2 linked regions of the Sus scrofa genome follow. The protein of the gene in region 2 purifies or fractionates together with the protein of the main gene of each other region. This does not show direct contact. Links are inferred from orthologs where the notes say so. Each region holds a gene or a part of one and is shown on either strand. Other genes may lie near its edges. The genes, in order: PDS5B and CDCA5.

Region 1 (4,287 bases), on a different chromosome or scaffold from region 2:
CCTGATGAACTACAATTTGCTTATTTTTTGGACTTTATTAGATCAATTTTAAGTTTATAGCAAAATTGAGAGTAAGATACAGAGATTTCTCATATACACCCTCCCCTCACATTCGGTTTTTTTAAAGCCCTAAAGACAGACATTTATTTTTAATACTAATTTCTTTTAATACCAACTTCAGATTTGTTTCCCTAAATAGTGTTGCTTTAAATGAAGGTTTATATTACTAATTTCTGTAAATCCATTTGCTATTGCATACAACATAGTTCCTTTTTTTTTTAAGCAACTGCTTCATTTAATCCTCAGAGATTTTTTTTTCTCTCTCCATCCTAATAGTAAATCTCCAGATGAACTTTCTTTTTTTTTTTTATTTTATTTTAATTTTTTTTGTCTTTTTGTCTTTTTTTTGTTGTTGTTGTTATTGTTGCTATTCTTGGCCGCTCCCGGCATATGGAGTCCAGGCTAGGGTCGAATCAGAGCTGTAGCCACCGGCTACGCCAGAGCCACAGCAATGTGGGATCCGGCCGCGTCTGCAACCTACACCACAGCTCACGCAACGCCGGATCGTTAACCACTGAGCAAGGCAGGACCGAACCGCAACCTCATGTTCCTAGTCGATTCGTTAACCACTGCGCCACGACGGACCCCAGATGAACTTTCAATATACTCGTAGTACAGCTGCAGAAGTGAGGAGCGGCATCCCCTGGAGGTGAAGGGGGTTAGAAATCCACCTCCCAGAAGACTTCCTTGTGTTCTTCAGATTATTTCTCCCTGTAATAAGGACAATTGTGATAAAATGAATGGAATGCTTTGTTACAGGTGGACTTGTTATGTCCTCGCAGCCACCGCCTAAACAATACCTGAAAATGGGACAGCTGTGAGATTAAGTAAAGACATAACATATAAAGTGCAAGAACAACAAAAACAAAAACAACTCAGGGCATTTTGAGATGACTAGGTCAGCGTTAGCAAGGAGCAAAGTAGTTAACATCAATTTTATTTACTTAGCACGATATTAGTATTGTTTCATTGTTTTAAAAAATTCCCAACTTTTATCCATAAAGGTAGAGGTATATAACAATTTACGTGGTTTTCGGCAAAAGTCAAGGAAGCCTTAGAAGCAGAGAAAGCATTGACAGCCCCGGGTCTCGATGTCACAGCGGCGGCGTGCCCGTGTGACTGCGTGCGCGCGCGACGGGCGGGGCGGAGGCGGGCACGCGCGGGCGCACGGGGCGGGGCGGAGGGGAGGCCGGCGGGCACGCGCGCGAGGCTGTCCGGTCGGCAGGGGGCGCTGCGCACCCACGCGGCGCTCTGCCTGCCCCCGGTGCTGTCCGCGGCGGTTCGATTGGAGCAGCCGCCGAAGAGCTCTTGGCGCCATTTTGAAGCGGAGAGGAGGAGGAACGGCGGGGCTGGCTGCGGAAGGGGAGGGGGGGAGGAGGCGATTGGATGCGGCGGCGGCGGCGGATCCCGGAGAGCAGCGGAGTGAGAGGAGTAACGAGTCGGGCACCCGGAGGTAGGAAACAATTCAGTTAACGGGAAGAAAATGTCTCTTCTCTCTGGTCGCCGCGCTCCATTTTTCAGCGCCCGCCACCGCGGCTGTGTCTGTGGCGGGGCTCAAGCGCCGCCCGCCTGCCAGCCGAGACTCGCTTCCAGGCATCGGGGGCTGCAGCCGCCGGCTGCCTGGCGGCGGCGGGGCCGGGAGGAGTGGGGCGCGGGCCGGGGGCGTGGGCCCGGCTGTGCGGTGGGGGGTGGGGAGGGCCCCTCGGCCGCCGTGTTCCCTCCACGCCGTGGGCTCAGCCGCAGCCTCTGGAAATTAAACTTGCCGCCCTGGCCCGACCGGGGCGCCCGCGGCGACGGAGGCGGCGGGCCGCGGGCGGTGACCTTGCGCGCGCCGGGGGTCCGCGCCCGCTGCCGGGCTGCCCGGCCGCCCCGCAGCCCGCGCCCCGCCGCCGCCCCTCCCCCCCGCGCCCGGCCGGCCGGCGGCTGTTTCCCGGGCGGCAGGCGGGCGGCGCGGCGCTCCTGTTGAATCCTCCCGCGGGCGGGTTTTCCCCCTTCCGGGCGAGGGGCGGGGAGCGCGGGTCCCGGCTGACCCCGGGGCGGTTTGCGGGCCTCGGCCCTTCCGCCCCCGCGGCCGGGTCCCCCGCGCCGGGCCCGCTCCGCGCAGCCTCTGCTCCGGGCGACGACAAGGGCCGATAGAGTGACATTTTTATACGGTTACTTGCCAGTCGCCAGAGATAAAGCGCGCTCACCGCGCCTCTTGGAGCTGGTGCTGGGGGCACCCGAGGACCTAGTTGGGGAAGAGTCCAGACGGGCTGGAGTGGCTCCTCCCTGGCGACCACTGAGTCCTAGCTTTCCTTTAGGAAGCCTCGGAATTGGAACGACAGTGCAAACGGTGTCTGGTTGACGTTTTTTTGAGTCTGTTATCTTACTGACACCTGAAAAGTTTCTGGTCGGGAGAAAAAGCTTGTTTGTGGTTCTGTGCTGCTTTGCCTCTTGGTACATGCGCTGAAGCCGCGACACGCTAAGCCCTGGTACAGTTATTCGAGGGAATGACTCCGAACCCAGAAACGTAGCACCTCCGCTTCAGAACTGCCGCTTCCTCCGTTCCTCCGCGGCCCGTGCAAACTCGGGATAGGGTTGGAAAGAGCGTTTTGGGCATCCTAATCAACTCCAAAAGAGAACCCTTTATTTGACTTTGAAAAACGTACTTCGAACGCTCTTATACTTTTATTATGAAATGATGGCTGGACGGTACTGTCCTGAACGACCCTACCAACCCTGTTTATTAAACCATTTCGGAAATTTTGGATATAGCCTTTGATTTCGAAGGTTTAGTCTGTGGTCTTGAGTGATTTGGGGGTCACCGGCTGTCTTCCTAATAATCATTAAGAATCCAAGTTTATTTATGTATATAAGAGGCGAGCTGTACATGAGTCATAATTATTTAAAACTTGAATGGCAAAACCCCCCCACAAAAACCCAAAACCTCGATGGCAGTATGTATAATCATTGTTCTCAGCATATGTATGTGAAGTCCCAAGATAGAGTATTTTCTGTTCTAACTTATACAGTAGTCAAGTAAAATAGTTAAAAACACAAAAATGGTATTAAGCAAAATAAGGGTTAGAAAAGACACTTATCTATGCACTGCATATGTCAGAAATGTTAGCATTTTTAGGAACCGTAAAATGAGCATTCTTATGGTGTATGCAGGTCAGTTTGTGGAACAGTTAATTTTGTATCACTGAGTAGTAGCAGAAAACCTAATTAAAATTTGTAGTGGTGAATATATAGGTGAAAGTTTCAACATGAAACTTCTTATGTTAAGATAGATTTATTTTGAAAAACTTAGGTGTAAAAAAATTAAGTCAGAACATTATTCTTTCAAAATGAATTTACAAGTGTATATAGAAAAGGTGCGTTTTAGACATTCTTTGATTACTGAAGTAGTTATTTATTTTTGCCTTTTTGATGGTTTAAAAAAATCTCTGGGTTTTACTTGAAGGTGTATTTTAAATGACATGGTAGTGTTTGTATTGACTTTTTTTTTTTGCCTTGAAGAATTTTTGTGCTCTTTCTTATTTTTCTTTTGTTGAGGTTGATTATCCATGCATTAACTTTGTTTTTACAGAAGCTTTTTATTAAATTAATTTTTTTAAACCATTCCCACCCCTACAGTAGCTTTTTACTCTTCTTGTCACTTTCATTCTTGTATGCTTATGCTTTCTTTTCCATCACTTTCCCCAAGAATTAGAGGAGATAAAGTGATGATAGTGATTCTTGTTGTCATGGGATGTTGTACTAGCTTATTTGATAAGTAGTTGTACTGAGTTGGATTTTGGATAACATTTTTAAGTTTAAAGTTGTTTTGAAACTTTAACAGTCACAAAGAGTTATGTTTTGAGGACTAGGCTTTATCAATAATTGGTTAGGCCTAAAATAAAGCAATACTCTATATTAGGGCTTGCTCTGGTGAAAAGTAAATGGTAACCAAAACTTTGTGTCAGGGGGAATATTTTGGAAGATTGTATTCTTTCTGCTTCTCCCTCTTTGAGTAGTAGGATTGTCCTGTGGCTTCCTTAGTGCTACTTTTTCATCATGTGTGCCTAGAACCTACAGGAGAGCTTACAGTGATTTGGTTTTGATGACAAGTACTGTATATATACTCAAAAGAGTAGATTTGTGTTTCCTTTGTTAGTGTTAGGGAGCTATAAGGAAACATAGATGATTTCCACCTCACTTATCATATGCATGAGACATTAGTTCAGATTATAATTTGAATGGTTT
Region 2 (3,620 bases):
CAGCGCCCCCAGTGTACAGGGACAACAACCCTGGTGACACAGCCCGAAGAAAGCGTGGCTTCCTGGGCCCACACCACACCCTCAGCTCCAGCTCTGACCCAGCAAAAGAAACAGTCTATGAACAGGCAGCAACTCTTTAATTGATTGTTTAAAAAAATTTTTAAGACAGTTTTCCCTCAACTCCATTTAGTTTGTCAGGGGCAGAGAGAAGTCTGCAGATAGGACATCAACTCAACATCATTTGACTACTCCTGATTCTGCAGGACAGACACCTCCCAGGAACCGTCCCGCCGCCAGCCAGTGAAGACAAGGTTCCTCGGGTGTGGTCAAGGGCATCTGGGCCCATCCTGGCAAAAGGGCTTGCTTATGGCGTCTGACAAAGCACCAAGCGCTGGACAGGTGGCCGGGGACCGCTAGGCCCCACCGAGTTTAATTAACGCCCACTAGGCTCGAGCCATTTCAGGTACCCTAACACGCAAGTGCTCAGCTTCCCTGATGCCCTCTGCGGTCTGCGAGCCCCCTGCCCCTTAGCCTCTATGTCCATGAACCTGCACACGTCAAGGGCACCGTGGCCTGCACGATGGTGGAAGTTGTAGTTGGACAGCCTTTGAAAGTTCACCTTTTGTCAATATTGAGCAAAGAGAAACAGGGGCTGGGGAGGGGGGATCCCCAGACAATGAGATGACCCCCCTCCCGCCCGAGTTCAGCCCCTAGCACCTACCTCAGGCAGTGCCCTCATGTGAGAGGATGCTCAGGACGCTGAAACTTAAACTGCTCTCCACCCTGGCCCCTTTCCGGCCCATGAGAAAAGCTTCCTAGAACCTTATAAAAGACTAATGTCACCCAGACCATTCAATCCCTACGTTTTTCTTCCAGAGCTGAGCAGACTAACAAACAGGTGTGAGTGACAAGAGGGACCCCTTCCGGCCCTCTGCTGGCATCAGTCCGAATGCCCTGAGCCTCAGGTTCTGTGGCATCTGGAGGCACCTTCTTTGCCCCAAGCAGTCAGTGCCACACCAGCCTGGCGCTTAACCGAACATCCCAACAGCAGAACACACAAAACTATCGAACACAGCTTCTATGTAGTAAACGTGTACAGTCTGAGACCCAGCCAAGTCTTCCCTTCCTCCTTCAAAACTCAAGACTCCATAGGCTGCGTGTCCAGCTTCCTCCTTGGAGAGAACAGCCTCCAATCCACGGGGACAGTCCTCCTGGACCCTCTACAGAACCTAAGAGGATACCCGAGCCTCGTGGCTGGGAACCAAGCCCCAGTAGCGGCAACTCAGAAGACAAAGCCTGAGTCTGGCTGTGGCCCTCAGCATCCATTTCTGGTGGGGCTGCTGCAAAGCAGACACATTTCCCAACAAGAGCACAGATGCTCTCTTTCACTCTCAACTCCTGGCCCTTTAACCTCCTCTGGCTGGGCCTGTGAGTCCTACTCCCTAGTCCGTGGCCCAGCTGGAAACCAGCTGGGATGCTCCAGGAGGTAGGAGGGCAGAGGGTCGTAGGTCACCGACTACAGACAGGACACCAGTGTGTGGCTGGGCCAGGTGGGCCCCGTTTCCTGAAGCTAAGACGGCCCAAAGGACAGGCCTTGTGTGCAGCAATAGCACGTGCACGGGTAACAAAACCAAGGGAGGGGACCCCAAGGGGCTTCTCCACAGGGCGAGGGGATTATGTACAGGGGGAAGAGGGCAGCGTGGCCAGGTACACCCCCATCTCATCTCATTCAACCAGGAGATCAAACTGCTCAGCAGCTTCAAACTCAGCATTCATGGCCGCAGCCCATTCATCCAGCTCCGATTTCTGGGGGAAGAGAGATGGGGGGGCAGGTGAGTGGGGAGGGGAGCACATTGGCTAGAGCGCCTCGTCCCAGACCCTGGAGGCCCTGCCTTTCCCCCATAACAGCCAGGGCTGAGCCTCGGCCCTGCAGTGCCTGGCACATCTCCCCGTGCCCCTGCCCCTCACTCACCAAGATCTCTGGCACCTTCCTCTTCTTCCGTTTCTCCTTCACGGCTGGTGGCGAGATCCCAGGGAGCGTCGTGTCTGGTGCCCAGGGCTTCACAGGGACCCTGGGGACCTCAGTTAACTTTGAACCCACCACAGGTGAGACTCCAGCCAAGTCTTCTGTGGCCAGCAGCCCCTCAAAGCCAAAGCAGGACCGGCGGCCCGGGGTGGAGGTGGAGGCGGAGCCAACAGTCTCCAGGCGGCTGTAGGATCGCCTGACTTTCTTTGACATTTCCAAGTCTCTGGCGTCCAGGTCTCCTTCCCCTGAATTGGACTCAACGTTCAGGGAACACAGCACAGGAGTGGGGGTGGGAGTGACAGGGACACTGCGTGTCTGGAAGAGGTCCTCCCTAGTAGGCTCCTTGCTAGGAGGGTTGTTTTCTTTCTCCAAGAAAAACGCGATCTGTACCAGGACAGGAGAGAACGCCTCCCTGTTAGTTGTTCTACTTCGAGAAAGGCCTGATTTAGGGCGGAAAGACCGACCCGGGGGCACTTTAGAATGGAAAAGTGGAGGGAATTCCCGTCGTGGCTCAGTGGTTAACGAATCCGACTAGGAACCATGAGGTTGCGGGTAAATCTGACTGGGAACCATGAGGTTGTGGGTTCGATCCCCGGCCTCGTTCAGTGGGTTAAGGATCCAGCATTGCCATGAGCTGTGGTGTAGGTCGCAGACGTGGCTCGAATCCCGCGTTGCTGTGGCTCTGGCTGGTGGCTACAGCTCTGATTAGACACCTAGCCTGGGAACCTCCATGTGCCGCGGGTGCAGCCCTAGAAAAGGCAAAAAAAAAAAAAAAAGAAAAGTGGAGATGGGTCAGGAAATACATCAGACCAGAGACAGATGTGGGATGGGGAAGAGACCAGCCGGTCACTGTTCCTGAGTCCACTTTCGTGCCCCAAGAGGACCGGCCACCACCCCTTGGAGCCGCCGGCTCTGGCTCTAAAACATGACTGCAATCTACCCACCTGTGACGGGTGCCCCGGTCCCTGTCCCTCCGGCTCAACACCCTCCTCGCCGCCCTGCCCACTCTGATCCGTTTGTCTCACAGCTGGTGATGATTTTCCTAAAATGTCCACCCAGCCAATAAGTTCTTAATGGTCACCTGCCAGGCACCGTTCTGGGCACTGGGAGCCAGAAGGGAGCAAAACAGAGAAAACCTGGCTCCATGGAGCTTCCACTCTAGCGGGGGAAATAGGTAACCGGGAGAGTCATATCGTCCATCAGAGGCATTAAGCACCTTGGGAAGAGAGAGAGGAGGGGAGGGTGCCCCGGGAGTGGGCTGGAACTCGGGTAGGTGCAGGGCAGCGGAGGCCTCACTCGGGTAGCACGTGAGGTATGACTTGAAGAGCTGAGGGAGTAATTTAACTGGGAGGGAGGCAGGGAGAACAGAAAAGTCCTGGGGTGAGAGTGTGCCAATCGGGGTCAAGGAACAAGGCCAGCGTGGCCCAAGGGAGAAGTGAAGAGAGGACCCGAAGATGCAGCTCAGGTGGTAATGGTGGCGTCGGAGGCGCTCTGTGGCCACAGTAAGGGGAGACCCATGGAGCCTCTTGCTCCGGGACCCAAGGAGCCACGGGAAGGGTGGGAACAGTGCCTAATCTGACATGAGCATTAAGAG

What was found.
Region 1: the proteins of CDCA5 (region 2) and PDS5B purify together in Homo sapiens (affinity purification with western blotting; 4 studies listed by BioGRID and IntAct, with this or other methods). This does not show direct contact. The link is inferred for Sus scrofa from reciprocal best matches to the Homo sapiens genes CDCA5 and PDS5B.

Annotation. Positions count from the first base shown.
Region 1 is NC_010453.5:9,013,384-9,017,670, forward strand, and holds the start of PDS5B (sister chromatid cohesion protein PDS5 homolog B), read left to right. Parts: upstream 1-1,310; 5' UTR 1,311-1,513; intron 1,514-4,287. UniProt on the Homo sapiens protein: Regulator of sister chromatid cohesion in mitosis which may stabilize cohesin complex association with chromatin. May couple sister chromatid cohesion during mitosis to DNA replication.
Region 2 is NC_010444.4:7,106,569-7,110,188, reverse strand, and holds part of CDCA5 (sororin), read right to left. Parts: intron 2,411-3,620; coding exon 1,973-2,410; intron 1,807-1,972; coding exon 1,726-1,806; 3' UTR 1-1,725. UniProt on the Homo sapiens protein: Regulator of sister chromatid cohesion in mitosis stabilizing cohesin complex association with chromatin. May antagonize the action of WAPL which stimulates cohesin dissociation from chromatin.